Alligator mississippiensis: one gene and its partners. The protein of the gene in region 3 purifies or fractionates together with the protein of the main gene of each other region. This does not show direct contact. Links are inferred from orthologs where the notes say so. Each region holds a gene or a part of one and is shown on either strand. Other genes may lie near its edges. The genes, in order: RMND5A, SIN3A, SKI and HDAC3.

What was found.
Region 1: the proteins of SKI (region 3) and RMND5A purify together in Homo sapiens (affinity purification with mass spectrometry; 3 studies listed by BioGRID and IntAct, counting the BioPlex papers as one, with this or other methods). This does not show direct contact. The link is inferred for Alligator mississippiensis from reciprocal best matches to the Homo sapiens genes SKI and RMND5A.
Region 2: the proteins of SKI (region 3) and SIN3A purify together in Homo sapiens (affinity purification with western blotting; 3 studies listed by BioGRID and IntAct, with this or other methods). This does not show direct contact. The link is inferred for Alligator mississippiensis from reciprocal best matches to the Homo sapiens genes SKI and SIN3A.
Region 4: the proteins of SKI (region 3) and HDAC3 purify together in Homo sapiens (affinity purification with western blotting; 4 studies listed by BioGRID and IntAct, with this or other methods). This does not show direct contact. The link is inferred for Alligator mississippiensis from reciprocal best matches to the Homo sapiens genes SKI and HDAC3.

What each region holds. Positions count from the first base shown.
Region 1 is NC_081825.1:14,510,997-14,518,443, reverse strand, and holds the start of RMND5A (E3 ubiquitin-protein transferase RMND5A), read left to right. Parts: upstream 1-4,438; 5' UTR 4,439-4,529; coding exon 4,530-4,671; intron 4,672-7,447.
Region 2 is NC_081834.1:27,956,099-27,962,993, forward strand, and holds the start of SIN3A (paired amphipathic helix protein Sin3a), read right to left. Parts: upstream 3,014-6,895; 5' UTR 2,995-3,013; intron 1,414-2,994; coding exon of another isoform or gene 508-1,413; intron 1-507. Other genes in the region: basic proline-rich protein-like, read left to right, coding at 508-1,413, 4,820-4,831. UniProt on the Homo sapiens protein: Acts as a transcriptional repressor. Corepressor for REST. Interacts with MXI1 to repress MYC responsive genes and antagonize MYC oncogenic activities. Also interacts with MXD1-MAX heterodimers to repress transcription by tethering SIN3A to DNA.
Region 3 is NC_081836.1:13,628,545-13,636,509, reverse strand, and holds the start of SKI (ski oncogene), read right to left. Parts: upstream 3,011-7,965; 5' UTR 2,373-3,010; coding exon 1,461-2,372; intron 1-1,460. UniProt on the Homo sapiens protein: May play a role in terminal differentiation of skeletal muscle cells but not in the determination of cells to the myogenic lineage. Functions as a repressor of TGF-beta signaling.
Region 4 is NC_081832.1:40,854,700-40,862,684, forward strand, and holds the start of HDAC3 (histone deacetylase 3), read left to right. Parts: upstream 1-4,974; 5' UTR 4,975-5,035; coding exon 5,036-5,090; intron 5,091-5,096; exon of another isoform or gene 5,097-5,209; intron 5,210-5,396; coding exon 5,397-5,479; intron 5,480-7,985. UniProt on the Homo sapiens protein: Histone deacetylase that catalyzes the deacetylation of lysine residues on the N-terminal part of the core histones (H2A, H2B, H3 and H4), and some other non-histone substrates.

The DNA of each region.
Region 1 (7,447 bases), on a different chromosome or scaffold from region 3:
CTTTGCTCTCCTTCAGATGCTCCAATGCTGCTTTTTTCTGCTGCTTGGTCTTTCCAAACAGAACTGTGAAGTGACACTTTTCTTTTTGGTGCCACCGCTGCTTACAAGCTTCTATGAACATTACCAAAGCTCTTATCCATTCCCAGTGTGCTCCTGTTTGAAACCCCCCCCCTGCCGCAGCAGTGGTACTACAGAAACATGGAGAAAACAGGGTTGAAAGGGACTTCATGAGGTCATCCAACCTCTGCTCAAAGCAGGATCATCTCCAACTAAACCATCCCAGTCACATACAGACTCATGAAGTTAACAAATGCACAATGGAAATGACCATGTAATATCTTCACGGGGATGTCAGGAAGCATAAATCACACCTTTGGAGGTTTTTAGAGCATTCAGTGACTATTGCAAGTGAGGGTCAAAGTGGTGAGGGGGCAGATAATCTCACTAATATTACATGTTAGTAGTTTTAATCTGTAACCTCAAAATAGGCAGAAGCCTGGATGGAGGAATCATAGCTTTTGGCCTCCTCGCTCACAGCTGCCTGCCCCAGTCCATGAGCATGAAAGTCCCATCACAATGTTAGAAGTCAAAAGCACCAGCCTGTTCCAAGAAAGAAGCTGCTAATGAATGATGATACAAAGGAATGTGGTGTTGATTATCCAAAATCAAGCCTGAGGTTTCTGGCTGGAGGCACTGCTGCTGCGTGGCATCCCAGTATCCTTCTCAGCGGCATGAACCCAAGTGGACTTTCTGCAGTTTCCCTCCTATAACCCCACCACCTAGGCAGAGGTTGGCAACCTTTTCAGACTATGAGCTGGTGTGACCCAGTTCCACTCAGACCCAGGGAAAGTACCCACAGCTAGCGCTTCTCTCTGTAGCAGCATGGAAAAGCAAGTGCTGCTGAAGCCCTCCAACCACCAAAGGCTGCCAAAGCCCCATGTCTACAAGCCAGATCAAATGGCTCTGTGGGCTGGACCTGGCCTGCAGCCATAGGTTGCTGACCTCTGACTTAGCTAGTTCCACATGCTTAGCCACAGGCCGATATGCCTCCTTATAATTGCATTTCTAGCTGCATGTATACAGCAGGGCTCCCCAAAGCTCTTACCTGCCTCCTTGCTTGCTTCACATATTGAAGCAAGTCCTTTGCTTTCTCTTCTTGAAGAGGTACCAACCTGGGTCCCCATTGCACAGCCCCTATCACCCCCTTCCAAAAAGACACCACATTACTGAGCACATCCAACTGATCAGAGGTAGCCACATCCCATCACTACTCTCTCCATTGCTTCCACAAGCTCTCACCTAACCCAATTGTTCCCATCTCTCCCTTCCTGAGAGATGGCATTGAAACTCTGGCTAGGATTCATCACCGGCTATGAATACCAAGCAAAACCATGGTAAGAAAAATCTTCCATGAAGAAAACAAGAGGAATGTTAATAACAGGAAATGATGTATTTGAAAACTTGGATTTTTACTATTCTACATTATCCCTAAAACAAAGCTGTTCAATGAATCCTAAATGCAAAGCTGGCATGACTGGCTATCTATTAACAATGAACCATAGCAGCAATTGTGACTTAAAAAAATGTCTGCTAGACCATACGTTACCTCTACATCTGCACCCTGAGCATCTTCTTCCAAGACATCTAAGAATTTCAAGGTGGAAATGGCTTTATGAATATCAAGTGTGTCAACGTAGTCAGAAGGAGAGTCATTATCCACACTTGCTTACCAGAAAGAAGCCCTCTATACTGAAAGATGAAAGTGATGTTCAGCAGGGGGGGCTAGCAGTCTATTCTTAAGTTTACTTTGAACTGCCTTCTTTTCTCCAACTGTGCTTTCTACCTCTACACTGGTCTGTGGAAGAGTCAAAACTGATATGACAATAATCTCAACTAAATAAGAGTGACTCTCTCAATTGCCGTTCTTATACTAGTGGACCATAGTCCAGATTCTTCTGTGGTTGTTTCTTGCCACTTCACTTGGTACAGATTGTTCCCACTATTTCTACACAATTAATTTTTTTTTCTCTGGTCATCATCTTTGTGGGTAAGATGAATATATGGCTGCCTATACATATGCTTTGGGTAGCAGGGGGTGCATTTTAATTAGAGCAGTTCCCAGACAGCTGTTCTAATTAAAGTGGCTTACCGTCACGTGTATTAAACCCCCGCATTTTTAAATGACCACAGGATGCTTTATCTAAAGCTCATTTGACAAGGTTTAGATAAAGCGCCCCTGTGGTTATTTTAAAATGTGCAGGGGCTTAATATACAGGATGGTAAAGCAGCGCTGGAGCATTGTCATTAGAATGCAAAGCAGCCTCGATTAATCAAGTCTGCTCCGATGCAGTCCAATTAGAACAAGCACCTGTATAGGCAGCCTATGGCTTTAAAGAGTTTTACTTGGAGACAGGAAATTATTTTGTTGAAGGACCTTAACATCAACTTGTAACTTTTGTTTAAACTGCAAAAGGTGGGGCAGGGGGAGTTTGGAAATCAGTGGAATAGTTTGGAATAACTTCATTTGATACAAGGGCTGAAGGGCTTGTCATAACATTTCAAACTCATAACTAAGGTGAGGGCTCGGTACAACATAGCAACAGATGCCTTTCACCATGGAAGGACAGTGTCATATCAATAAAAAAAACTGACATCGACTCCAGGTTATCTAGAGCAGTGGTTCCCAACCTTTTTAGACCGTGGATTGGAAGTGACTGCAGACTGGCAAACTGCGGACCAGTATACTGCAGTCCAGAAGTGACCGGCATACTGCAGACCAGCAGCCAATCCTTTTTTATACTCAGTATACCCTATAAGAAAGTGTTGGCTGCTGGTCACAGTATGGTGGTTACTTCTGGTCCGACAGCCAGCCCTCCTGTGGATCGGAGCCAACCTTTCGCAGCCACGGGCCAAGGGTTGGAAACCTCTGATCTCGAGTGGATTCAGATCTCTTGCTGATGCACCCAACTTCAGCCAGCACTGCCTTCGCATGTGGCTACTGTGGTCCTTAACCATTTCATAAAGAGAGTCTCTCTGCAGCTGGGATCATTTCAAAACGTGATCTCGGCTTATCCCATTGGTCCCATACTCGATCAACTCAGCTGCCTCAAACTCTAGTAACCTGTCTGCCACTTTGGCCTGAAGGATGCTTCTCCATAGTTTCGTAGATGTTAGTGCCTGGAAGGGACCTTACAGATCATCGGGTCTGGCCCCCGCTGCACATGGGCAGGAAAGACCGCTGCGGTGAGATGATCCCAGCAAGGTGGGCATCAAAATGCTTTTTAAAGATCACCAGGGTGAGTGGCTGTACCACTTCTGCGGGGAGCCTGTTCCAAACCCTTGGCCCTTGACTTGTAAAAAGTATGTATCTCTCTCGTCACATGGCTAAGATTTCCAAGCTGCACGACCCTCCCAGCGGTCAACATGTATCCGAACCGAAGATTCATAGGTTGTAAGGGGGCAAAAGAGACCTCGGAAGATCACCGGGTCCAGCCCCCTGCACCAAGCAGGAAAGACAACTGGGGGTCAGCTGACCCCAGCAAGGTGACCGTCCAGTCTCCTCCTGAAGATCTCCAGGGTAGGTGATCGCACCACGTCTGGAGGGAGCTCATTCCACAATCTGGACACCCTGACTGCAAAAACGTTTCTCCTAACGTTGAACACGTTAACACCACGTTCGGCAGCGCTGCCTCCGCAAAAGCACGGACCCACCGTTCAGCCCGGCCTGTCTCAGGCGCGTTGTCTGTCCCGAGTCCCACCGACAGCGTTGCCAACTCGCGTGATTTTTGGCATCGCTCTTAAAGTTTACACTTGAGGGTTGCGAAAAACATAGCTCTTTCTTTTATCTCTATATAGAAACATAAATACACCTAGATCTTGAGATATAGATCAATATGTAGAAAGAGATCTAGATCTAGAGATCTCCATCTAGAAATATATAGAGATATATAGTTAAGAAAGAGAGATAAAAGAAGGATGTTTTTCACATTCCCAAAGCACAGACTTTTAGAACAACACGAACCATCATGAGAGCTGGCAACACTGCACCAAGTCCTTGCTGCTCAACCCAAGCAGCTGTCCATCTTTCCTGCAAGGGGAGTTAAAAAGAGAGGCACAGCAAGCTTGGGAGCTGCGTCCTAGACAGGCAGGCAAGAAGAAGGGGAAAGAGAAGCTAGTGCTGGCCTGAACCGGGCGCGCAGCGAGGAGCAGAGACTGCTTGGACTCACACTAGCACCATGCTGGCCAAGGACCCCAGCCTAAGCTACCCGCCGCATTGCCTGAACAGCCCGCCATCAGGCCCCCAGGCTGCCCGCCGCGCTGCCTGCGCAACCCTGCGCGCGCATGCTCCATGGAGAGAGGCCGGTTTAGCCTCGGAACGAGCCAATCCGCCGCAGCTTCACCGCAGGACCCCGGCTGCCCGCGGCGCCGCCTGCGCTCTCCGCAGGACCCCGGCTGCCCGCGGCGCTGCCTGTGCGACATCGGGGAGGAAGTTCCGCCAGGCGTCCGGGCCGGCGGGGCCCGCGGCCGCCATGGACCAGTGCGTGACGGTGGAGCGGGAGCTGGAGAAGGTGCTGCAGAAGTTCGCGGGCTACGGGCAGCTGTGCGAGCGCAGCCTGGAGGAGCTCATCCAGTACGCGGGCGGGCTGCGCCGCGAGATCCTGCAGACCGAGAGTACGTGCCCGGGGTCGGGCCCTCGCACAGCGCCGGCCGCGGGGGTGGGCGCCTGGGTCTCTGCGCGGCGCGGCGGGGGGCTGGGGGTCTCTGCCAAGCACAGCGTTGGGGGTCGATGCGGTGTTTCGTATTGCAGGAGTCGGGGGAAAGTGCCGGGCAAGCTTCTGGCCCGGCGAGGCTGCGCTGGTCGAGACGGGAGACCCCGAGGGACGAAGGGAGCTAGAAGTGCGGTTGGGGGGCTTCCAGTCTCTGCACCACACACGGGTTATTCGTAGATAGATTATGAGGGGCTGGGAAGGACCTTGCAGATCATCGGGTCCAGCCGCCCCTGCTCGAGGCAGGAAGGCAGATGGGGTTAGGTGACCCCAGCGAGGTGACTGTTGGGGTTGGGGTCTCTGCGGAGCCCCCGGCAGCAGGCGGGGGGCTCTGCATGTCTCTGAAACATGGCAGCAGGTTTGGGGGCTTTAGGTCTCTGAAATGCACAGCGGCAGGGCTGGGGGCTCGGGGGCTCTCTGGGACAAGCAGCAGCAGGTTGGGAGCGTTGGGTCTCGGTGAGCACCCAGCCGCAGCCTGGTAGCTTGAGGTCTCTGAAACGCATAGAAGCAGGTTGGGGCCTTTGGGTGTCTCTGAAACAAACGGCAGCAGCTTGGTGGCTGTAGGTCTCTGAACTGCACAGCGGCAGGCTTGTGTTTTTGGGTGTCTCTGGAGCACCCAGCAGCCAGCCCCGTGGGGCCTTTGGGTCTCAAACAGCAGCAGGTTGGGAGGCTTTGGGGCTCTGAAATGCACAGCAATAGGCCTGGGGGCTTTGGGTCTCTGCTGCATGCTCAAATTAAAGCTGGATAGAAACCAGCTGTAGAGTTGCTACACATTTTCAAGCACTAGTTTCATAGCTGGTTGGCTCTTTATGTAGCTTGGTAGTCATTTTTATGGTGTAATAATTTGCACGTTTGACCACTCTAAATTTATTGCGTGATTCACTGGTTAATTGCGTAATACATGGGCTGTGTAGCAGGGGCCTCTGAAACAGCAGCAGGGTTGGTGTTTTTGGGGCTCTCTGAAATGAATGGCAGCAGGTTTCATTGCTTTTGTGTTTCCACGGCAGTTCGATTTTAAAATGTTTTGGCCGCAGGTTGTTTTTTTTCAGTGGATGGCAACCTCCACAGTGTGTTTCTGTGACTAAGATCTGGTACTGTCAGAGCATCTTCACAGCTGTTTGTAAACACGAGCCACTTAAATCTTGCAGCATCTTTGCAAAGTAGGTAGCTATCATCTAGGGAGGGAGGGATGGAGAAGGAGTGGTGAGATGAGAGTCCCAAGTGATTTGTTCAAGCCATGCAGGAAGCAGGTGATAAATAAAGAATTAGTAACTGGGATTTCCTGGTTCCTAGTCCCATGTTAAACAACAGCCTGTGGCATTTCTTTGTGCTTTTATGGCGTGGTTTGTAGTCCCAAGAGAGCTGTGTACTGCACAAGTGCAGGAGTTTGATTTTATTTACATATGTGATTATGGGATTGAAAATAGCATACATCCGTGCAGGTATTTGTTGTTGTCCAGTCCTGCCTGGACAGTGTTTTCATTCTGTGAAGAGGCTTTCTGGTGGCAGAAGGGTGAAGGTGTCATGCTGTGGCCCTAGAAGTAGAAACATGAGCTTTGCTCTGTACTCCTCACACCTGTCCTTTGGCTTGGGTTTCAAAGGCAGCTGGATGTGATACTAGTCACCTCCATCTTTTGTGGGCCCTTGACTACAGAGCTCTGTGCCTGAACTCTAGCAGCTAAAGGGGCCACTTGGATCTTCGGCTTCTTTGTAAACTTAAAGGGTTTTTGGAGCCACCATTGTCATCTGTCAAAATCTCTTCTGGCCCCACAGTTTTCAAGGGTTGGCGCTTCATATATTCCCAATGGCAGCCTTCACCAGTGTTATGAGATGCCAGAGAGTTTTTTTGAGAAAATGCTATTTTAATAGTCCCTCAGAGGGTTTTTACAGTTTTTTTAGGCAGGTATGAAATGAAGCTTAAATCCATTCATTTTGTTCATTATTTTATGGGGCCAAAGTTCAAATAAACTACTTTGCTATATGGAGTAGTTTGGTTAAATGACCAGCACTTGGTATTGGAAGGACAGTCAGTCAAATATGCCTCTTACAAACAAAGAGCTTGATTCTGAACTGAGATGAGAGCATTTTGCGTGTAGAGGCTCTGGATGAGTTAGTGTACAGCCGTAGAAGTGTGCTGGCAAGAACCCTTCGCAGAATCAATGCCTAATGCATGGACCATAATCAGGAAAGATGTTTTTATGTGTTCACTCCCTTCTGGGCACCCACTCTGCAGTGTTCATAGAATCATAGAAGTCGGGTCGGAAGGGACCTTGTAGATCTTCAAGTCTGACCCCCTGCCTGGGCAGGAGGAAAACTGGGCTCAAATGACTCCAGTCAGGTAGGCATCAAGCTGCTTCTTAGAGACCCCCAGGGTAGGAGCCAGCACCACTTCCCTAGGAAGTTGGTTCCAGATCCTAGCCGCCCTGACTGTGAAGTAGTTCCTATGGATGTCTAATCTAAACCTACTCTCCAACAACTTGTGGCCGTTATTCCTTGTTATCCCGGGGGGCGCTAGGGGAAACAAGGTCTCCCCCAAACCCTTCTGGTCCCCCCTAGTGAGTTTATATACAGTCATCAGGTCCCCCCTTAGCCTTCTCTTGTGAATGCTGAACAGGTTCAGGTCCCGTAGCCTCTCATTGTAGGGTCTGCCCTGCTGTCCCCGGATCATGTGGGTTACCCTC
Region 2 (6,895 bases), on a different chromosome or scaffold from region 3:
CTGAGGCACCGCCTCCCGGTGGCGCGGAGGCCCCGCCCCCCCTCCGGGGAGCCCTTTTGTGGAATGTTTACATCGGCGCCGCAGCCCCGGCGCTGCCCTGCGAGGAGGAGGAGGAGGAGGGGGCGGGGCCGGGCTCCTCGTCGTCCCCCCCCTCCCCTCCCCTCCCCTCCCCTCCCCCGGTCCCCCCGCTGCACGTGCGCTTTCTGCCTCGCCGCGCGCATCAAGCTGCAGCCCCGACCCCGGGGCGCCCTCCGGCACCACGCGGTCCCCGCCCGCGGACGGGCCGCTCGGCTCCAGTCCTGCAGGGTCCGGGGCTGCGTCTCCTGCTCCGCGGTTCCCACGCGCTGCCCGGGGAGGGGGCAGCAAGCAAGAGGGCCCCGCCGCAGCCGCTCGCCCTGACTACGGAGCGCACCCGGCCCTCCCCTGCGGAGGGGGAGGGCCTAGCGGGGCGCTGGTTCCCGCCGAGCTGCGGCTGGCATTGCTCAGCGCTCACGAGCACAGGGATAGGCATCGGGTTTCCCTCGCCTCCGGGAGGTGGGAGGGAAGCCGGATCCCGCTGTGTCTCCGCCGGGACCTCAAAGTAAAGGCGCCCCGGGCCCGGGTCTGCGCGGAGGGCTGTCCCTCGGCTGCTGTCCAGAGGCTCGGGAGCCCTCCGCGACGCCGGCGCGCACGGATGCAAGACGGGGCCCGGGACCGAGCCTGGCCGGTGCCCCCCTCGCTGTCGCACGCGCCGGGCCTTGCGGGCGTTACGAGTGCCCGAGCCCGCCCCCGCAGCCTCCGGCGCGGGCCAATAAAGGGAAAACAAGCCGCCGCGCGCGGAGCCGACGGGGGCTATTTTTAGCAGCGGCCGGTCCTCCGCCGGGAGCTGCGGCTCCCAGCCCGCTGCACAGCGCGGGGAGCGCTCCCGCCTTCCCCGCTCGCGCTCCCGGACGCCGCCTGTTGCTGAAGTTTCCAGCGCCAAGGACTTCGCTGCACTCCTCGCCCACCCCCGCCGGTGCAACTACGGCGGCGGCAGGTCGCTTCTCGCCCGAGCAGCTGCACAGGACGGGAGCGCCCCGCCTCCCCTCGGCACCCAGCGCCCAGGGCGAGGCGTGGCGCCGCGCGCCCGCTCCCCGCAGTCGGTCTGGGGAAGCCGCGGTCCCGCCTCAGCCGCTTCTCCCCGGGCCAAAAAAGGGGGGGGGGGGAAAAGACGGGGGCGATTTACTGCTCGGCCCCGCCCCGCCCCGCCCCGCCCCGCCCCGCCTCTTCGGGCTCAGCTGGCGGGCAGGCGCCAAGCGGGCCGCGCCGGGGAAGGGGAAGCCCCGGATCCACGTGCTGGTCCCGAGCCCAGCAGCCGGAGCCGCGCTGAGGAATCGCCGCCACGTGACGGAGGCGGGCCAGAGGCAGGGCAGTGGGGACGCGCAGGAGGGGCCGGTGCGTGACCGCGGCGCGGGCCTGGCGGGATGCCGTGAAAAGGCGGAGTTTAGTGCCCGGGGCTCCCTGGGGTGCCCCCCGCGGAGGACGGCCGGGCCGGGCCGGGCCCGGAACAACAGCTGCTCGGGTCTCTGCGCCTAGCCCGCGCCACTGCCGCCGGCCCCCGACGGGCGCGAACGCACAGCCCCGGAGCAGGGCAGGGCGCGGGGGAGCTGCCGGGCGCAGCCTTTTGTCCCTGAACCCGCCCCTCCCTTCCCGGGCAGCTTCACTTCCGGGATAGCGGCGCCCACGTGGGACGGATCCATTACACGCGCGGGGGGGAAGACACCAGCTTTACCCCAACCCCTTTCGCAGGGAGGCGGGCCGACGCTTCCGCTCCAGCCAATCAGCGCCAACGATAGGCCCCGTCTCTCCTCCCCCTTCCGGACGGAGCCTTGCCACATTCGGCCGGGAAGCGCAAGCCGAGAGGCGGCCGGGCCTTGTGATGGGCCGGGCCAGGCCACGCTGGGAGTCCACCCAATAGTGGGGGGGCGGGGCGAAACCCTCCGGCCAGTAGGAGCGGGGCGAATCCCGCCCAAGCCGGCGGGGCAGGGGTGCCCGTGCAGCTTGTCCGCGGCGGCGGGAGCCCGCGCGGGGCTCGGGGGCTGCGGCCGCTGCACGCGGGGGGCGGGATCTGTCGCTTGCCCCGCCCCGGCTGCGCTCGTGCCCTGCACAGCATAGCCTGGCCCGCCCCGCCCGCAGTCCGGCGGGGAAGGCACCCGCTACGGCGGCGAGCTCGGCTCGCACGGCTCCGTGCCCGCGGGCAGGCGCCACACGCAGCCCAGCCCCGGCCTCCGCCTCCCTGCGAGCGCGGGCAGGGGCGCGGGATTGTGGGAGAAGGGGGGGGGGAGCTCCGCTCGGGGGCGGGCATCTCCCTCCCACCAGCACGGAGGAGGCGGGGTGGGAGAGGCAGCTCCATGTTTGCGAGCGGATCAGCTGGGAGAGCGCCGCGCGGCTGCTGCCCGGCCCGGGGGCGCCTGCAACTGGGGCGCGCGGCGGTCGGGCCCGGGGATTCCCCCCCGGTGTGGGGGCAGCTGCAGCCCGCGCCTCCCCGCCCGGCCGCAGACCCACTCGCGCCCAACAAGTTTCCCGGGGGGCCCCGCGCGGCCCGGGCTCCGCTGCCGCCCCGCGTGTGCGGCCGCGCTCAGACCCCCGCCCCCGGCAGCGCCCGCGAAGCCCCGCGCACAAACCAGCCAAACAAGCGCCTGGACCCGCGGCCCCGAAGCGCGACGCCGCTTTGTTTATTCCGAGCCAAAAAGCAAGGGGGAACGCCCCGCGCACGCACCGCCCGGCGGCCCCGACCCCTCGGGACAGCCCCCGCCTCCGGGCGCCCCCGGCCCCACGCGCGGGAGGGGAAAGCAAAGCCCTTTTCCTGCTTTTAATCTCTCCCTTCCCGTCCTTAGCTGAGCCGAGCGCGCGGTCCCCCTCGGGCCCGGGCCCCGGACGGACGGCGCTGCCCGCGGCCCCCCCTGCCCCGGCCCGCCCCCTCCCCCGAAAACGCCCGATATTTTCCAGCCTCAATGGGAAGCAGCTGTTACATACCCTCAGCGCCGCGGCCGGGAGTCCTGAATGGGCGGCACCGCCCCCGCGCCGGGATTGGCCTCCGCCGCCAGCCCGTCAGCGCAGCACCGCCCGCCGGGGCGGGCCGACTGCGGCCGGGGCCGGGCTCCCCCCGCGCCCGCCGCCCGCAGCCCCGGCCCTGGTGCAGGCGGAGCTCGGTGCCGAGCGGCCATTTGCGAGCGCGGAGCCGCGGCCGCTCCGGCTGCCTCTCCCCAGGCTGGGGAGCCGGGCGCCGCCTGCTCGGAGGTGCCGGCTCCGGGGCGCTCGAGGAGCACGCCCCATTAAACTTTCCAACACGCCGGGTAGGTAGGAGTGTTTCTCCCCCATCTCCCGCCAGGGAAACTTGAGGCACGGGGCTTCCAGGGAGCGGCCTGAGAGCTGGGGCAGAGAGGAGCTAGAGCCGGGGTGTCCTGGCTCCTGGGGCTGCGCTCGTGGGTGGGTGAGGAGAGCAGGGCTGTGGCTTTGGCGCCAGCAGATGTTGGGGATCTGAGGTGGAGTGTAAATGCTCCGGCAGTATTGGGGACCCTTCGGGCTTGAATGCAGAGTCGGCCGCCTGCTGTGCATTTCCAGTGGAGAGGGAAGGAAATAAAGCTAGACTTATTTCACGTGCTCTGGATATTAAAGGATGGTGGGATGCAGGTAGATGATATCTTCAGCCTTCCTTATCCACACCACGGGTGCAGTCAAAGCCATGTGCTGGCTTACTGGCCAAGGGCTGTCCTGCAGACCTTAAAGTCCATTTGGGGGGTTTCAGGTGGCTCCCTGCAATGCACCTTTTGCAGGGGCAAGCAACTTCTTCCACCCATGGGCCAGAACAACCCACTCTGGGTCAAAGGCAGCTGAGCCGACACTAGGACCTGTCTCCCACCACTCCTTGTCCCCGCTATGCCATGGGCCTGCAGTCCAAGCCTCCTGCTGCCAAAGGTCTCTGAAGTGTCATGTCTGTGGGCTGGATCCAGCTCACAGGCCATAGGTTGCTGACCCCTGGCCTACCATAAAGGAAAGGCACCTTGATTTTCTACACCAATGTTAGCAACAGTGTATCTGTCCACCTACTTCAGGCCCAGGATAAGGAAATCCACAAAGCCTGGCAGTGCAGGGTCACAACTAATATGCCGTTGGTTACACTAGTATGTTCTAATAGTCTAGTCCATGATACTGTTACAGTAGGGGTGGATCTGTAGCTGGTTTAGGGCATGATCCTGTAAGAAGAGGCTGAGTACCTTTGTCAGCCAGTGAACTTGCTGCCTCCAGTGGTGGCTCAGCATTTCTTAGGTACAAGCCCCCAACTGACATGCCTCTGTCCCTAGTACACCAGTTTACGGTGTAAATTTGACCATTTGCTCACTATCTCTGTGGCCAGTCCTTTATTCCCTTCACTTTTCCCTGCTTCTGCTGCTCAGTACAAAGTGTTTTGAATATTACTCAGTTTAAAAATCAAGGTTACAAGATGGAGTATTTCAGCACAGCGCACAGCTCTGAACTCAGGAGCCACAAACCCCGGGTCTTCTTAAACCCAGGGTCTGAAACAAGCAACACAGCAGTAATATCCGTGCTGCAGTTTCCCTGCCTATCAGGTTGAACTCTGTTTCACAGGGACGCCGCAAGTAGGACTGAACTAGCAGACCAAAAGTACTTTGATGAAAAGACTGATATCAGTGCTAATTAGTAATAATTAGAGTTGTCAAATACTGACAAAATTCAGTGGCTTTAATTTGGCAGGGGTAAACCTCACTCCAAGATTGGGGGCAAAGGTTACGTCCCAATGTCGTCAGCCATGCTCATACCCTTTGTTTTTGCTTTCCAGAAACATGTGTGATGTACACTTGTCAGCCTGGACAGACTGAATCTCAATCACATACTCAACTATTTGGAGAAAGAAAAGTTTCAAAATGACTCTTTACAAGTGTTGACTGAACCTCATGCATCCATTCAATCAGAGAACAGAGATGCTACCATGTGACTCGCCCAGCCAATCATAACCAGTGAGCACATTATGAACTTGAAGAACAGTGAGAACTGTGGTTTGCTGTCGCATGCTGCACTGTGGGCGCTCCTCTCTGCCCCTCAGTTACCTGGAGCACTGCGGTGAGCTTGCTCCAAATGTCCCTTCCTCATCACCAATTGCTGTGCCCCAACAGGTGATTCATTCATGACCCCAGACTCCAGAGTGAGTCTCTATAGAGTCCCTCTCCCATCTTGGGGATAGTACCCTACAGTCTTTCTTCTGATCTGTAGTGACTCCACCTCACTCCCACTCCTAGGTGCCAAACCACAACCCCTGCATAAAACTGCCAGAGCCAATTTTCCACCCATGCCTTTTTGCTTCCTCAGGCCATCTCCTCACTCACCTCTTCTTGAACACATCTTTTCTCCGTCTCCTGAGTTCCTCAAAGGCACAGATGGCCCTCCTCAGTCTTCACCACAGGAGACTCCTTTCAGTGTCATCTTGGCCTCTGAGACCAACCTGCAGCTCCCTTCTTTGCAGGCAAGGCCCAGCAGCACCAGCTTCTCTTGCTGCTTCTCCTGGACCAAGTCTCCTGGAAGGCAGCAGGTAGTTCCTGGTCTGCAGGCCACACATTCCCTAGAGGTCTCTGTGCTTTCTTCCCAGCCAGGGACCTTCCACTAGGACTTCTGCATCCTAAGTGCAGTAGACAAGGCTAACTGAACAGGGCTGACCAGTCTCAGGCCATTGAATGGGCAGGCTACCCTTTTACAGTCACAGAAAAAAAGCAGCAAATTAATCAAGCCAAGGGGAGATTTTCAATAACATGAATGGGAATTAAGTGCCCAGTTCTCATTTTCACCTTTGACAATCCTCTTATCAATGATGAATTAATTATTTGTTCAGCCCCAGCTATTAGTTTGGCCTTGCTAAGCAGGACAACTTAGCACTTTTCATCCCCCTGGGCTGACCAGACTTAGTTTTTGAGGGGCTGTGCCAGGTTCCCAGCCAGATACACTGAAGCAGCCTAGATTCAGCTACTGGAGTGAGTGGTCTGCTAGCTAACCCAAGTTAGAAGTCCATCTATCCTTCCTTCCTTCCTACATGCTCTTCTCTCCATCTTGGGGGGTATGGGGCTCAGTAATGTACTGTGTCCCTCTGAGGGAACTGAGTAGAACAGCTTCCCACCATAGTAAAACAGAAGGCAGGGCGGTATCTTGGAGACTAAACTGAGTGACGCTTTTCAACATCAAATCAAGTATGACCCAGCCAAAGAACCCTGAAGCAAATGAATCAACCAGTTGCCTTTCTTCCAAAACTGAACAGGCGATAGAGACTCAAAGGAGTTTACTAGTTTGTTTCTGCTGATTGAATTTACGTAGAGGGTGTTCAGATACAGTGGTGATGGGCAGGCATACAGGACACATGTCTACGTTTGGATAGTGTATAGTGCAGCACAGGAGGCTGCAAATCTCAGGGCATTACAGATATGTGCCCTGAGGAACTCCAGCTGTTCTGATGATGCTTTGCTTTGTCTACTGCTCCATGCACACGCACTTACACTGAAGGCTGAAGGATGTGCAAGCCTCAGCACACAGGCAGCTTCTGAGCCACAAGCCAACCCGGTGGCTTAACTAACTTGATACATCCTATCACCTCCCCTGGGTCCAAGCAAACAGAGATTCCCTGCATGATCTGTTCCCAGCATAGGAATGGGAGCTGAGCCAGTTTATAACACAAACCAGCTCTGCCCCAGCTGGGGAGACTTCAGGAACAAGGAGGCTGTTTACACTCACTTTCAGACCCCTTCATGCTGCCAGAGTGAGAGGAGAAATCATCCAACTAAGGGACAGGCCCTAAGTGAATGTGTGACAGTCATACAAAAGCAGGGCTGGAAGGCAACTTCAAGAGGTCATCTAGTCCAACCCTATGCTCAAT
Region 3 (7,965 bases):
CTGACACTCCAGCTGTGGGAAAACGGGGGGGGGGGATGAGTGGGAGACAACTATGGAAACTGGGACTAGAAAGAGGGTGAGTCTATTCATGGTTTAAAAATAAGTTAGAGGCAATAAAATCAAGGAATTGGGCCTCCCTAGGTCAGCTTACTATAGCTAATATCCAGGTATCTAAAAAAACCTAGATAGTTTTAAAGAAAAAAAAAAGTGTGTGTGTTTAAATGAACCTTTAGAAAGTTAAAGAGAGTAAATCCATGACCAGCAAAATCGCTGTTGCTTCTTGAGAATGGAGAGCTTGCTCCCAGCTCCGTCCATCCTGGCCTCTCCAACTCCAGCAAGGAAAGCTTTCAAAGATCCCTTCAATTTTACTTGACAGAGTATTGGGTAGAAGGAGTTAAAAACAAAAGCCAAGACAAGTCGAGGGGGGGCTGTTTGTTAAAAAAAAAAAGAGAGCGAGCACAGGGCGTCTTACTCATCCCACAGCCAATTACACCATCGCCAGCCAGACGTCCTGGTGTCTGTGCGCTAGTTCTCAGGGCCCTTGTAACATTGCTGCCCATTGATCAGGACTGGTGCCAGGTGCCAAGGCAGCCTTCCACCCACGCACTGGGGATGCTGAGATGTACAGGCTGCTCAGCCTGAAAAAAGCCACCGGAAAAAAAAAAAAAGTGCTCTAGCTGTGTGCATGGGCAGACTCAACCCGGATGGCATACCTTGGAGGCTGCTGCTGCAGCTGACTCGAGACATCCATTCACTGACTGTCTACATAATCCAATACACAAAAGCCAGTCTGGTGGCAGGAGCCAGGCACCACTGTGCCAGAGTCTTATCCATTCACATACCACGCACTACTAGTATACTCATTTATCATCAGGGTTTTTCTATGCAACCTTATAAGCAGCTACTTTTAGTCCAAATATATGCAGAGATAATTTAGCCCCTGTTCCCAGAGCTATTCAGTTAAGAGGGTTTTATGTATTTGTCCACAAGTCTGTTCCTCTTACTTTATGTCCATCTTCCTTGCCCTGACCTCCCCCCACTTTCAGCCTCTGATGCCAATGTCCTTACACCACTTCCATTCCCTGTTAAAGTCAGGAGGAGGGGGTAAGAGTTTGCAAGGACCACAGGATCGGCCCCTAAATCATAGACAAAAATTAATCTGTTTTTAAATTAAACCTAAAGCCTCTAACAAGAAAACCGATTTCAGCTTGCAGCTAAAAAAAAAAAAAAAGTGCTCTCTTTAAATGCTTCTCCCCCACCTGAACACACAGCGTGATTTTCCAGCATGACAGACTGCTGCATGGCTTTAACAGCAGCTCTGGTGCCCTGGACCTTTCTATCTCAGTGCAAGTCTGAAATCGCAGTCTGGCTCCTCCTGGCCCCCCTCATCTCGGTCTTCAAATAAAAAACTGGGGAGAAAAACCCCCAAACAACCCCCCCCCACAGACACACTTACTTACCCTGGGTGCTTTTCTCTTGTATTTGTTGTTGTAGTCAAATTTCTCTTTCATTTCATCCAAGAGCTGGCCCAGTCTAACTTTCTCCTCTTTCCCAGTGTAATCCTGGCTGAGGAGGATATAGGACCTCCAGTTGGCCGAGTCAAAGCCCCAGTGGCAAGTCCTGTTCTCCAGGGACTTGTGAGAGTGGACCACAAATTTGTGCGGTGGGTACATGAGCCTGCAGTCCAAGCACTGGATGCAGGCTGCGCTGGGGTTGCTGTAAAGCTCCGGCACCAGGAGTCCCTTGCACTTCCCGAAGCACTCGTGGTACACCTTGAAGCTCTTGTCCGTGTACTCCAGCTCGATGGTGCTGGAGAACTCCTTCTTGCAGTGCGGCGGGTAGGTGCCCCCGTAGAGCAGGGCATTGCACAGCCGCTCCGCGTCGGTTTTGGTGATGAGCCCGCAGGAGGGGGCAGAGAAGGGCAGGATGCCCATGACTTTGAGGATCTCCAGCTGGTCAGCCGTGCACCTGGAGCAGTAAATGTGCAGCTCGTCACACACCGAGTTGATCTGCTGCAGGGAAAAGTCCCTGAGCACCGAGTTCAGGATCTGGGGCAAGCAAAGCCGCTTCTCTCCCCCCACCACGAAGCAGGAGATGGTCTCCCCTTCCAGGATGGTCTCGCACCTCTCCGTGGACCTGTCCGAGGGCATGAAGAAGGGGCCTGGCATCACCGGGGGAGGCTGGATGGGGGGCAGATGCAGGACGGGCTCCGCCGGGTCCTTGCCATTGTCCTTCTTGTACATCTCCTGGGCCCATCGTGCGGAGAAAGCAGCAGGGCCACCCAGGGAGCTCATAGAGCTCAGATGAAACTGTTCCAAGGTTTTCTGCAGTCCTGGATGAGGCTGGAAGCTGCTTCTACTTACAGTCTCCATTTTTAGTTTCTATTCCCAAAACAAAACAAAACAACACAACAACAAAAAAGCCCCGCTGATCTTCCACCCTGGTAGCAATCCACTGAACGGATTAAAGGGGAAAAAAACCCAAAACAACCCAACCCCCGCTTCTTTCTCTCCTTCCCCGCCCTGCTCCGGCAATCCACTCGCGAGGGGGAAGTCCTCGTGTGCTGCTGCTCTTTTCTCGGCTCGTGCCCGCTCACAGCCCCCACGGCTCCCGGGCTGCCCCGGCGCGGCGGAGAGTGCGGCCGGCAGAGGTCTTCATGCAGCCTCGCCGCCCCGCGCCCGCCTCAGATCCGCCCCGGCGGCGGCTGCTCTGCAGCGCGCTCCCTCCTGTCCATGTCCGCCGCCAGCGAGGGGGGGCAGCGGGAGGAAGCGAGCTCGGTCCGTAGACGGGGAGGGGGGGAGGGAGGGAGGAGGGAAAGCGTGCGGATAAAATGAAAAGGCCGAATTTCTTGCCCTTCGGAAACGCAGCGGGGCCGCGGGCGGGCTCCCCGGGCTGGGCGTGGAGGCGCTCCGGGTCTCTCGCGTCTGTGGTGCGCGCGGGGAGCTGCAGCAGCAGAGCACGTCCTCCCGCTCCGCTCCCCGCCACGGACTGGAGCGCCTCGGCGCTGAGCTAATGCGCCGGGCTCAGCCGCCTCCGCCGCCGCCTCCTCCCCGCCCCCGCCCGCGCCCGCGCCCGCGCCCGCTGCGTGTCGGTGTCTGCCTCGCTCATTGCAGCGCGGCCAAGAATGGGACCGGCTCCCGGCCGCGACCGCCGCCCCCGCCCCGCCACCAGGGACAGGGGGCTTCCCCGGGCCTGCCCGCCGCACCCGCACCCGCACCCGCACCCCTCCTCGGAGCACAAACACGGGCCCGCCGGCTCCGCACCGCCCGGGCACGGCACGGGGCACCGCACACCGCGCACACACGCGCGTTGTGCGAGCTGGGGGCTATACCACACACACACACAATACACATAGCACAAGCACACACGTTGTGCGAGCTGGGGGCTATACCACCCCCCCCCCGCCAATACACATAGCGCAAACACACACACACGTGTGATTTGGGTGCTATACCACACACACACAATACACATAGGGCAAACACACACGTGTGATTTGGGTGCTATACCACACACACAACACACACATAGCGCAAACACACGCGCGCGTTGTGCGAGCTGGGGGCTATACCACACACACACACACACACACAAGCACACACGTTGTGCGAGCTGGGAGCTATACCACCCCCCCCCGCCAATACACATAGCGCAAACACACACACACGTGTGATTTGGGTGCTATACCACACACACAACACACACATAGCGCAAACACACACGCGCGTTGTGCGAGCTGGGGGCTATACCACACACACACACACACACACACACAAGCACACACGTTGTGCGAGCTGGGAGCTATACCACCCCCCCCCCGCCAATACACATAGCGCAAACACACACACACGTGTGATTTGGGTGCTATACCACACACACAACACACACATAGCGCAAACACACGAGCGCGTTGTGCGAGCTGGGGGCTATACCCCCCACACACACACACACACACACACAAGCACACACGTTGTGCGAGCTAGGAGCTATACCACCCCCCCGCCAATACACATAGCGCAAACACACACACACGTGTGATTTGGGTGCTATACCTCACACACACACACACAAAATACACACAGCGCAAACACACACGTGTGATTTGGGTGCTACACCACACACACACACGTGTGATTTAGGTGCTATACCTCACACACACACACACAAAATACACACAGCGCAAACACACACGTGTGATTTGGGTGCTACACCCCACACACACACACACACGTGTGATTTAGGTGCTATACCTCACACACACACACACAAAATACACATAGCGCAAACACACACGTGTGATTTAGGTGCTATACCACACACCAACACCCAATACACATAGCGCAAACACACACACATGTGATTTGGGTGCAATACCACACCCCCCAATACACACAGTGCAAACACACACACACACGTGGTGTGCGAGCTGGGTGCTATACCACACGCGCGCGCGCACACCCCCCGGATATACGCAGTGCAAACACACACACAGAGGTGGTGTGCGAGTTGTGTGCTATAACTACAGACACCCCCCCCCCCCGGCTCTGCATAGCGCAAACACGCGCACACACACACACACGTGTGCATCTTCTAGGGAAACCAGGGGGCAGGTGAGGCCCAGGGCCGTGCCCGGCGGGGACAGCGGCCGCCCCCCCGCCCGAGCGCGCCCCGCCGGGGCTGCGCCGCCCGCGCTTGTGGTGCCGGCGCGGGGCCGCGTGAGGCGAGCTGCTGGCGGCGCGGGGACACGAGCGCCCCCTCCCGAGGGCCTGGGACCGCTTCTCCCAACACCAAGGTTTCCCCCGGATCCTCCCCTCACCCAAGTCTGTCCGGCTCCGTTAGACGCATCGGTGGGGAAATGCACACGTGCACGTGCCTGCACACACACCTTTGCTCCAAACTAGATTTTCAGATATTTAAATTAAAAATCAATGCAAAGCCATTTTGTTCCCTTCTTTCCCTCCCTCTCCCCCCCCCCCCCCAGTGAATTACCTAAAATTAGAATTATTGGACATTTTTTTTAATCAGTTTTTTATTTTTTTTTACTGTTTTACCAGCTCTAAATACAAACAGGAGAAGCAAGTTTCAAAGCTAAAGCAAGAACATCAATTTTTTTCACCATCTTTCTAAATCAACATGTTCCCTTAAATCCAATGCACAGGCAAGAGGAGGCTGGACCACAAGCTTTGCAGAAAAGATTATGAAATATTAGTGTTACCGTAGCAGCTAGGAGCCCTGCTCATGCCCAGGACCCCTCTGTGCCAGGGGCTGTGTAAATACAGGACAGAAAGATCCAGTCCCAGAGGTTTTATAATGTGAGTATAGAACAAGAGAGAACAGGGGGTATGAGAGACTGGAAAGGAGGGAGACAAGCTAATTTCCAAATGAATTAAGTCTGAAAGAACAAAGAAGAAACAAGAAAAAGAAAAGGTTTGTCTGAGACCTGGGGACACCGTAACTTTGGTATTTTATTCACATGGTGACGTTGGTGAGGCCATACCTGGAGTAGTGCGCCCAGTTTTGGGTCCCTCACTATAGAAAGGCTGTGGACAAATTGGAGAGAGTCCAGCGGAGGGCAATGAAAATGGTTCAGGGGCTGGGGGACATGACTTCTGAGGAAAAACTGAGGGACTGGCTTAGTTAGTCTGCAGAAGAGAAGACTGAGGGGGGATTTGATAGTAGCCTTTAACTTCCTGAAAGGGGCGGGGGGTTCCCAAGAGGATGGAGGTAGACCAGGGCAGGCAAAATATGGCCTGCCAGGAAATTTCATCTGGCCCACGGGTGCCCACCAACTAGTTGTACCCAGCATTTCCTCTAAGCTGTGCGGCAAGCACGGTCACACAGGTGTGCCTGGCAGTGCAGCATGAGCGTGCCCGCACGGCCGTGCACACCACACAGCTGAGAGGGAACACCGATTTTACCCACCCAGCTCTTCCACTCATGAAGGTGGAAGTGAGGTGCCCACATATACCCCCCACAACATACTCTATTGCACCTCACTCCCATCCTCACAGGTAGAAGGGCCCATCCCAACCAGCATGCACCTTTTGGGCGGCGTTGCTGCTGCCGCTGCTACAGCCACCAAGGGACCTGCTCAGCTTCCCTGGCATCCCTTTTGCTCCAGGCACCAGGTGGGGAAGCAGCAGGGGGGGTGGGAGCTGCAGCTGGGCAGGAGCATGGAGCTGGAGCTGGGGCTGGCAGCAGTGCAGAGCCCTGCTCGGGTGTGCAGGGTGTGGTCGTGAGGGATGGTGGAGCATGAATAACTGGTGCCTCCTGAGACTGGGGGGGCACCATGGCAGTGAGTGGGTACCACCTGCAGACGCTGCCGGTGATATCAGCGGTGGCAAGTGGGGACTGCCTACAGATGCTGGCAGTGGTGTCGTTGGCGAGTGGGGACTGCCCGTAGACGCCAGTGGTGGTGTTGGCTGCAGGGGAGGGAGGGTGGTGAGTGGGGACGACCCACAAGTCCCAGCGGCTGTTGGCAGCAAGGGTGGGGCGGATGGCGAGCAGCGACTGTCCACAGAAGCCGGTGGCGGCCAATCTCAGGAGGGGCACGTGACCCCCTACGCATCACCTAGGCAGTGGGTGGTGTGGGGACCCCCCACACATTCCCCACCATGGCACACAGCCCCAGCCAGTGGCAACAGCAGCAGAAGCAGCAGGCAGGGGTACTCGAGGTGCAGTGCCCATTACAGGTGCTGCTACTGGTGTCACATGGCTCCGGCCAGTGCTGCAAGTGGTGGCAAGAAACACAGCCAGGCCAGCCTGCCTCTATCATGGGTTGCTTCCCGAGGCACATGTGCAGCTCCCACACTCCTGTGCATGAGGGGAAGCCCCATGCAATGGAGCCAGCTGCCTTCACAGCTCCCTGGCACACAGGTCCCAGGACTCCGCTGAAGTGGAGGAGAGCCCTGGCCCCTTCTTCCTCACAGTGTCCCAGGACTTGCATGGCAGGGAGTGGTGAAGGCAGCTGGCTCCATCACATGGGGTTTCCCCTGGTGGTGTGGCTGTGGGAGCTGCAGGTGTGCTGTACAGAGCCCCATACAGGGCCATCTTGGGGTGGGGGGGCAAATTGGGGCCCCTCGCTTTGGGGGGGCCCGCAATCAGTGCTGCATAGGCCCTGCTGTGGCCACCATGCTCTGTCACTGTCAAGTGCCACCGCAGACTTTGGCTGTTCGCCACCCCCCAGTCTGCCAGCTCTGCCACCCTGCCCCCCCAGGCCCCACATACCCCTAAGGACGGCTCTGGCCCCACGCAATAGAGGCGGCTTGGCCAGGCTGCGTTCCTCGCCCCCACATGCAGTGCTGGCCAGAGCCAGAGCTGGGCACTGCTGGCAGCAGCGCCTGCACCAGGCATAAGCACCCAAGCTACCCCACCTGCTGGTACTGCCGTTGGGGGGGGTGGAGCTGTGCACCATGGGGGAAGTGTGTGGGGTCCCCGCACACCCCCACCCTCCCTCACACCCCACAAACCCCACGCACCCACACCCTGCCCCAACACCCCCATACACTCCCCCAACATACCCTATTGCCTCCTCACACAGCCACGCTCCCTCACAACCCCCCCCACACCCCCCACTATACACATACACACCCCCACACCCCACCATACACACACAGGCTCTGTGGATGCAGGGAGATGGGTGGATGTGGTGTACCTTGATTTTAGCAAGGCTTTTGATACGGTCTCCCCCAACATACTTGTAGGAATGGACTGTAAGGTGAATAAAAAACTGGCTGGAGCATTGGGCTCAGACAGTAGTAATTAATGGCTCCATGTCAAGCTGGTATCAAGTGGAGTGCCCCAGGGGTCGGTCCTGGGGCTGGTTTTGGTCAATGTGTTCATCAGTGACCTGGAAGATGGCATAAAGTGTACCCTCAGCAAGTTTGCAGATGACACCAAGCTGGGGGGATTAGTAGATACGCTGGAGAGTAAGGCTGGGACTCAGAGTAACCTCGACAAATTGGA
Region 4 (7,985 bases), on a different chromosome or scaffold from region 3:
TCAAAGCTGGCAAGAAACCAATCATTTAAAAGTTAAGACATACATTCTCATGAGATTTTATATGTTTGTATTTTTTCACATTTTGGTTACATAATTATGCGATGGTAGCATTAAAACACAAGTGTAATGGGTATATAAAGGTGAGATATTTACAGTATATGAAGTTTAGCACATTTAATGTTTCAGGAATGATTAAAAAACCCATTGAGATGTATTGTGTAGGCCTACTGCTTTATTTTAATTGCAAGAATCACTAATGGTATTCTTAGACTTTTACTTGAGGCTAACAGTATGGCCTGTATTTTTCTTGTAGTGGTTTACTGTCATGTAAGTACAATGTAAAATGTATATTTAAAAAAATAGTCAAACAAGAGTCTACAAGACTCTTGGTAATCCTTCCATGTAGAGGTGACCTGAGCAGGGTGCAGGACCTAGGGCAAATCAGCCCATGCAGGGCCCTGCCCCTGCTCTGATCCTGGACCTGAAGAAGCCGCCGCTGCCATTGGTGGTGGTGGTTGCAACGGGGATCAGGGGGGAGCAAGTAGCTGGAGGCAGAGTCGCCGCTCCGCCCAGCTCCATGCCACTGCTGCTCTGCCTGGCTTTGTGGGGGCCCCCAAAGTGCAGGGCCCGGGGCAGTCGCCCTGAGATTCACCATCTCTCCATGGACAGCCCTGCTTGTGTGACATTTTGGATCTGAGCTCCAGGCAAGCAGCAGACTTCCTGGGACAACAGTCAGGCCAGCAGATGGATCCCTCTGTCCCCCGTAGAAGGAAGTTTCCAACCACCATCCATTACTTCCCCTTCATAGCAGTGCTCTCAATCTTCCCTGCCTTTAGGATTCCTGCCCTGGCCTCTTCCACCAATGGAATGTGCTCCCCCTTCTCTGTTGCTAGGACTCTATACCTGTTTTCCAGGCAAACCACTGCATGTGGGGATGGTGACTTCTTGCTGCCAGAAGATACAAGCTTCCAGCTTCCATCTTCCTGGGAGCTCATGGCCTCTTCCTTTTCTAGCACTACATCTGGCAGTCCATCCTCCAGTCCTAGAGGTTTCCTCCAGCATAGAACTGATGAAGTCCTCATGGCGGAGGCTGCTTCAGAGCTCCGTTACCTCGTCTTGTAGCTCTCTTGCCTTCTCCCTGAGGGACACCACTAGAAGGCACCACTTACAGTGCAAGCACTCCTCCACCTGGCTGACACTAGAAGGAACCTGTAAGCTGCAGTCTGTACCACACCAAACCCGGACCTGAGTGGAAGCCTCAACAGTGTATGGTCCTGCCTGGACAGACACCTTGCAGGTGGAAGCAGAGGAAGAGCTGGAAGTGGCAGTAGTTCTGGTATTACAACATCTTCCAGTCATGCTTCCTGGTCTTCTAATCTGCTGCCTCTCATTTTGTGCCTCTCTTTCCAACAAACCTTCCCCAGCAAACTCTGCTGTAGTTGGCCTGTTTGCTATTCCTTGATCTGAAGGGTTTCCTTTTCCCTGCAACCTCTTTCCTCTCAGCCAGCTTACAGTAAAGGAACGTGAGAGAGAGTTTCCAAACAAACTCCCCCTCACTCTGGACTCTAACTAAACAAGGGGCTTAAGTCTTGGTCTAGTCTCTTGCAGAGTTTTAACTGCTAAAATAAAACTATCTAGTTAGTCCGCATTATATATATGTATAAAAAAAGAATCTTACCTTTCAGGCTTCTCGTCTAAGAGAGGGATGGCAAACTACCTGAAGGGTGGTTCCAAAGAGGATAGAGCTAGACCAGGGCTGGGCAAAATATGACCCGCGGGCCGGATCTGGCCTGCCAAGCCATTCTATCCGACCTGTGGGGCCCCTCAAAAATTTAGAAAATTAACATTTATCTGCCCCTGGCTTGTGTCAAAGATGACATCTTGTCGCTGCTGTGGTAGTGTGTGACAAGGAGAAGGTGGTGGCGGCTAAGCCTGTCTCTTCCTTCTCCGCTGCAGCCACGCAAGCCCTGCCAAGCAGTATGGGGACTGCATCAATGCCCCGGGGCCAGGAGTGACAGGAGCACAGGCTTGCAGGAGTGCTGGCGGGGGCTCTGCCTGCCATGGGTCGGTGGGGGGGGGAGGGAGGAAACAGGCTGTGGGCAAACCCTTCCCCTCCACAAACCACAACCCTCCCCCACACTCTCCCAGGCCCCCACAAAACCCATGCCCATCCCACAGACCACACACCCACATCTATCCACACCCCAACTAATCACACACACAAACACACATACCCTATACTCACCCTCCGACCCACACCCCTCCCACAATATACAAGAGTAAGATTTCATTTTAAGCTTTTATACTATCATCTCGATGTACACTACATAAACGCCTGTAAATCAGGACGAAAATGTTTTTTGAAATGAAATTAATGAATGTTGTAGTACATATTTGAGATTTTTTAGAATATAATTTGGTATTTTTCTGGTTCAGAGATGGCAAAACACCTTGCTGAAAGGAGTTATTCCAGGGTCAAGGGGAGGGACTTCTGATGGCAAAGGTCAGGGAGTGGGACTTCTGGTCCCAAGATGGCAACCAGGGGATCAGGCACCTGTCAAGGGGCGGGCCTACCCATGTGGTCCTCAATGGCTTGCCAAAACTCCGTAAACGGCCCTTCGCCTGAAATAATTGCCTGCCACTGAGCTAGACTGTTCTCAGTGGTGGCAGATGACAGAACAAGGAGCAACAGTCTCAAGTTCCAGCAAGGGAAGTTTAGCTTAGATATTAGGAAAAACTCTCTCACTGGGAGGGTAATAAAGCACTGGAACAAACTACCCAGAGAGGTGGTGGAATCTCCAGCCTTAGACGTTTTTCAGACCTGGCTGAACAAAGCCCTGGCTGGGAACATCTCTTTGGGGATGGTCCGGCTTTGAGCACGGGGTTGGACATGACTTCCCTTCCAACTTTTTATGATTCCATGATGTTAAGAGACTGATCTTTATATTTCCTTATGATTCAGTTTCCCCCTTTGCTTTTTTCTGTTTACAGGTTTTTGGTGTGCTCTGTTTCACTTGAAACGTGTCTTATTTTCCTAAACCCTTTCCAGTTCAGATAAAAGGCAGATGGAAGGAGTCAGGCAGAAGTTTTGACGAATATTTGCCTCTGGTCATAAAGATCCTCTTAAACACTTCTTTAGGCATGGCATTTCCTCACTGTTGAGCACTGGAGGGAAGAGTAGCTTTACTGGGGATGTTAGCTTTTACCTCTGAGTCCAGTCCACCTTTGGGATTTGCCTGCACCAGGATTCTACTGTATGCATTGTCTGAATCTGTGACTTTGAGTTAGAGCTGTTTCTGGCTTACCCCCAATGCTTCTACTGAGCTTTTCTAGGAAGAAATGCTAAGCTCACCTTCATTTATGTATAGCTTTTTCTTTGGCACTCAAAAGCACAGAATCTGAGCAGCTCACATATGCCACTAAATATCTTCAGGGGTTCTCTCTACTAGGATGAGTTGGAATGACCCTTGGGTGTGTCTTTGCACAGTAGAGTCCTATTTCCACAGCGATTCAAAAGGCTGACAGCATTTAAAGCAGTGCAAGTTCCTAATGTAGCTGTTATTCCCCATGTCATTTATCTTACTTGCAATTATGCCCTTCAGCATGTAGCCAGGGAAACGCCCAGAGAACTTTTACCTTTTCTACACAGTATATTTACATTAGTAAGTACACCTCTATGAAGTATATGAAATGCTTGGCTTCACTGCCCACTTCACAAAAATCAAGATATTTTACCAATCCACACCAAGCCAATCAGCTGTTCCTTCGCATATTACAATTAGAGGACAGTCTTTGAAGAATGCGGAGTATCTCCCCTACCTGAATAGCCACCTTTCCCAAAAATACAGACAACATTTAACATCTCTGAAATCCCATCTTTGATGATCATGAAATCGACCCAAACCAAACTCTAGCAGGGTCTTTCCTATCCTGCTGTACGGGTGTGAAACCTGGATGCCATGTTGGAAGCATCTGGAAGCTTTGGAAGATAATTGCTGGTGATGTTTTCAGGAAATTCTCCATCTCAACTGGAAAGAAGAATGAATGCTAGCTTTCTGGATCAAGGAAGCTCTACCAGAATTGAAGTTGTGTTTGTATGACGCTAGCTTTATTGGTTAGAACGTTATAAGGGTGCCTGACAGCCAGCCCCCGAAACAGGTCCTATACTCCCAACTCACTGATGGTCACTGCTCTAGACTCAAATACTGAATCACCCCCATGTACAAGGTATGAAACTCACCTCACTACAGAGGTGGATAGAGGAGAGACACAAAGAGAGAGCTGTGACCTGATCTGCTCCTTCCTCCCAGAGCTACTTCTCATATCTGCAGACAACATGAGGATCTCAGACTGGGCTCCTCAGCCATCTCGGCTCTCTGAGGACTCCCCTATTCACCAAAAAACTATCCTTCTGGTAGTGGGGGGCTGCCAACATTGTTACCTTAGAAGAGCCAGTATCAAAAATCAAAGGTCCACCAGGGCCTAATGGTCCCTCAGACTAGCATGGTTAAGGCGTGCAATGGGGGCGTGTGACTACTTTGTCCAACCTCCGCCAACTCCCAAGCTTGAATGATGGAGCAGCCATCTCTTGCTGGGCTGGGTGGACTGCGTGGGGCGGGGGAGCTGCGGCTCAAGTCCAGAGCAAAACTCCAGCTGGTTTCTGGACACACAGCAGGCCGAGGGCCAGCCCCAAGCGCGCGCGCCCTTCGTGCAGTAATGCAGTAGTAGCGGCTGCCCTGGCACCAGGTCACAAGAGTAAAGGCTTCAAGAACACGCGGAGCAGACAAGACCGAGCTCCTTCTGCAGCAGAGCGTCTCCGCCAGCGCGGGGACACTCCTGGCGCGGCGGCCCGGCCCGGCCCGGCGCGGCACACCGGCACGAACAGCTCCAGCTCCGCGGACTAGCGACCGGCAGGGGCGCAGGTCTGCGCCGGCTTCCTCCAGGCGGGGGCGGGGCCGCAGCAGGGACCGCCCCGCCCCGCCCCGCGCGGGAAGGACGCGGTCTCGCGAGGGCCGCGGGGGGCGGGGCGCCGGCCATGGCGAAAACCGTGGCCTATTTCTACGACCCGGACGTGGGCAACTTCCACTACGGTAAGCGCGGCGGGGCGGGCAGGAGGCCCCGGGGCAACCCCTCTCCGCTGGCCGAGCCGCGTGCGTGGCCGCCTCCCCCGTCCCCTGTCAGCGCCGAGGCCCGGCCCGGCCCGTTGGCCGTAAGCGCCGAGGCGGCTCTGGGGGGGCGCGGGTGGCTTGGCCGAGGCAGGCAGGGCCGGGCTGCTCCTGGGAGGGGAGGGCTGCGCGGCCGGAGTCAGTCGGGTCAGCCCCGTGGTGCTGCGGCCCCTGCTCACTGGGAGCCCCGCGTGTGCCTGACTCACCCGCTCCTCCCTCCGTGTGTTGCAGGGGCGGGACATCCCATGAAGCCTCATCGCCTGGCGCTCACTCACAGCCTCGTGCTGCACTACGGGCTCTACAAGAAGATGATTGTAAGCATCACGGGCGGAGACCAGCAAGACTGGTCTGCTGGGGCTGGTGGTCCTTGCCTTGCGCAGTCTTGTCTAGGAGGTAGACGAAATAGTTACGTCTAAGTGTGCCTGTGAAGTGCAGTCCAGCCTGAGCCATTGTAGCTATCAGTCTAGAACAGGGGTGGGCAAAATACGGGCAAGTGACTGGATCTGGTCCATGGATGCCCCTGTGGCAAATCCCACCTGCTCCTGCTGGCCCAGGGCCAGATCTTGACCGGTGTGCACAGCTCCCAGTGGGGATGTTCCCAGTGCTGCTGCACTTCCCTCACCTCCGGTGGAGCTGCCAGCTGAAGCGTCCCTCTGCTCTTCCAGAGTGGCACAGCAGGGGCGGGAGCTGGAGGCAGGGCAAGCAGAGCAGCACCTGACGAGCTGGAAGCTGCATGCTGTGGGGCTGTTCTGCTCCCCGCATCTCCAGTTGCAGCTCCTGCCCCTGGCACAGCTGTGGACTGCACTGCCTGGGTGAGCTCTGCTGCATGTGCATTTTCCAAGACCTTTCCCGGGGTAGAAGTCAGGCTGATGGGCCTGTAGTTTGCTGGATCCACTTTCCTCCCTTTCTTGAAGATAGACACCACATTGGCCTTCTTTCAATCTTCGGGCACTTCATCAGAACACCAGGAGTTCTTGAAGATCTTTGCCAGGGACTGGGCTATGATGCTAGCCAGCTCCTTGAGTACCCTGGGGTGTAGATTGTCAGGGCCAGCTGACTTGAAGGTGTCCAGCCTCTCAAGGTGTTCCTTCACAAGGTCAGGATTGATGGAGGGCAAGGAATCTCCCTCACCCAGGTCATCCCTGACCACTATGGGACAGGGAGTCCCGTGGGATTGATGAAAGACTGACACAAAATACTCATTTAGTAAGCTGGCTTTTTCCTTGGTGTCGGTTTTCAGTTGTCCCATCTGTTTTAACAGGGGTCCAATGTTGCCCTTTCTTTTTCCTCTGGCTCCCCACTTATCTAAAAAAGGACTTTTTATTGCCCTTGATACTTGTAGCTGGTTGTAGTTCATTTGTAGCCTTGGCTTTCCTCATTCGCTCCCTGCAGGTCCGGACCAATGCGGAATATTCCTCTTTGGAGGTGGATCCCGTCCTCTATTCTTTGTAGGTCTTTCTCTTTAGCTGCAGGAGGTCTGCTAGTTCCCTGGAGAGCCAAGGGGGCTGCTGTGCCCTTTTGCTGCCTTTCCTCCGAGATGGAATAGCATTAGCTTGTGCATCAAGGATCGCTCCCTTGAGGAGCGACCAGTCTTCCTGAACTCCCCTCCCCTATGGGTCGTGGTCCCTTAGGGCTTCACTGGCAAGCCTCCTCAGCTTGTCACAGTCAGCTTTCTTGAAGTCAAGGACTTCTGTGTTGCTGTCTTGCCAGCTTTATGGCAGATGGTGAAGGTGATCAGCTCGTGGTCGCTGTCACCCAGCTTCCCTTTGATCGTTAGATTGCTCCCAGTTGCCAGTATCAGGTCGAGCAGTGCTTTACCTCTCCTTGGCTTGTAGACTTCTTGTGTCAGATAAATGTTGTGCGTGGATGACCTCTACCTTGATTCCTGCATCTAAGCATTTTGTGACCTGGTCATAAAAAGAAACAAGGTTAGTCAGGCAGGATCTACCTGCTATGAATACGTGCTGGTTGCCCTTTAGCATTGCTTTCCCTGCTGGACTCCCACAAATGTGATCCTTAATAATTTTTTCAAAGGTTTTCCTGAGGATAGAGGTGAGACTAATCTGTCTATAGTTACTTGGATCCTCCTTCCTCCCCTTCTTGAAAATAGGGACTGTGCTGGCCCTTTTCCAGTCCTCTGGGACCTGACTTGAGCACCAAGAGTGCTCAAATAGCTGTGCCAGTGGCTCTGCTATGACACTGGCCAATTCCTTCAGCTGCCATGAAAAATGGAGAACATATTTTCTCCATCATTACATTGGATGGGATGCATAGCCATGGCTTGGAGTTCCAGGTTTTGATTGGATGCCAGAGAAAAAAACATTTATAAACAGCTGAGATATTCTAAGCAGCATGCCATGTGGACCACGCCAGTGCAAGCCATGGGCTTTCCAGGCCTCATGCTTTACAGGGAATCCTGCCCCATAACCACTGTACCATGCATGCAGGTGTTCCCTATCCCTCTACCTCAGCTGTGGCCATGGGATCTCCCATTGCATTATGGCCTGCACTGTGCCACCATGGAGCAGGGGCAGGAAGCAGAAGACAGAGGAGGGAGGGAGGGAGAGCCTGGAAATCCTGATAGCAGCTGCTGCTGCAGTCAGAGTGATGGGAGTGGGGGAATGACAGCGAGGGAGCCCAGGGGCCACAGATCAACCCTTTGCAGGCCACCAGGTGGACAGCCCTGCCTTAGCAGTAGCAGTAGCCTGGAGGGTGCTTTAAAGAGTAAGAGCTGGAAGCCCAGGAAGCCTCCCCATGTAGACTGCTGGGAGATAAAGGAGAGGACAAAGTTTTTTTTTCTTTATCTGTCTGCTCTGGGCT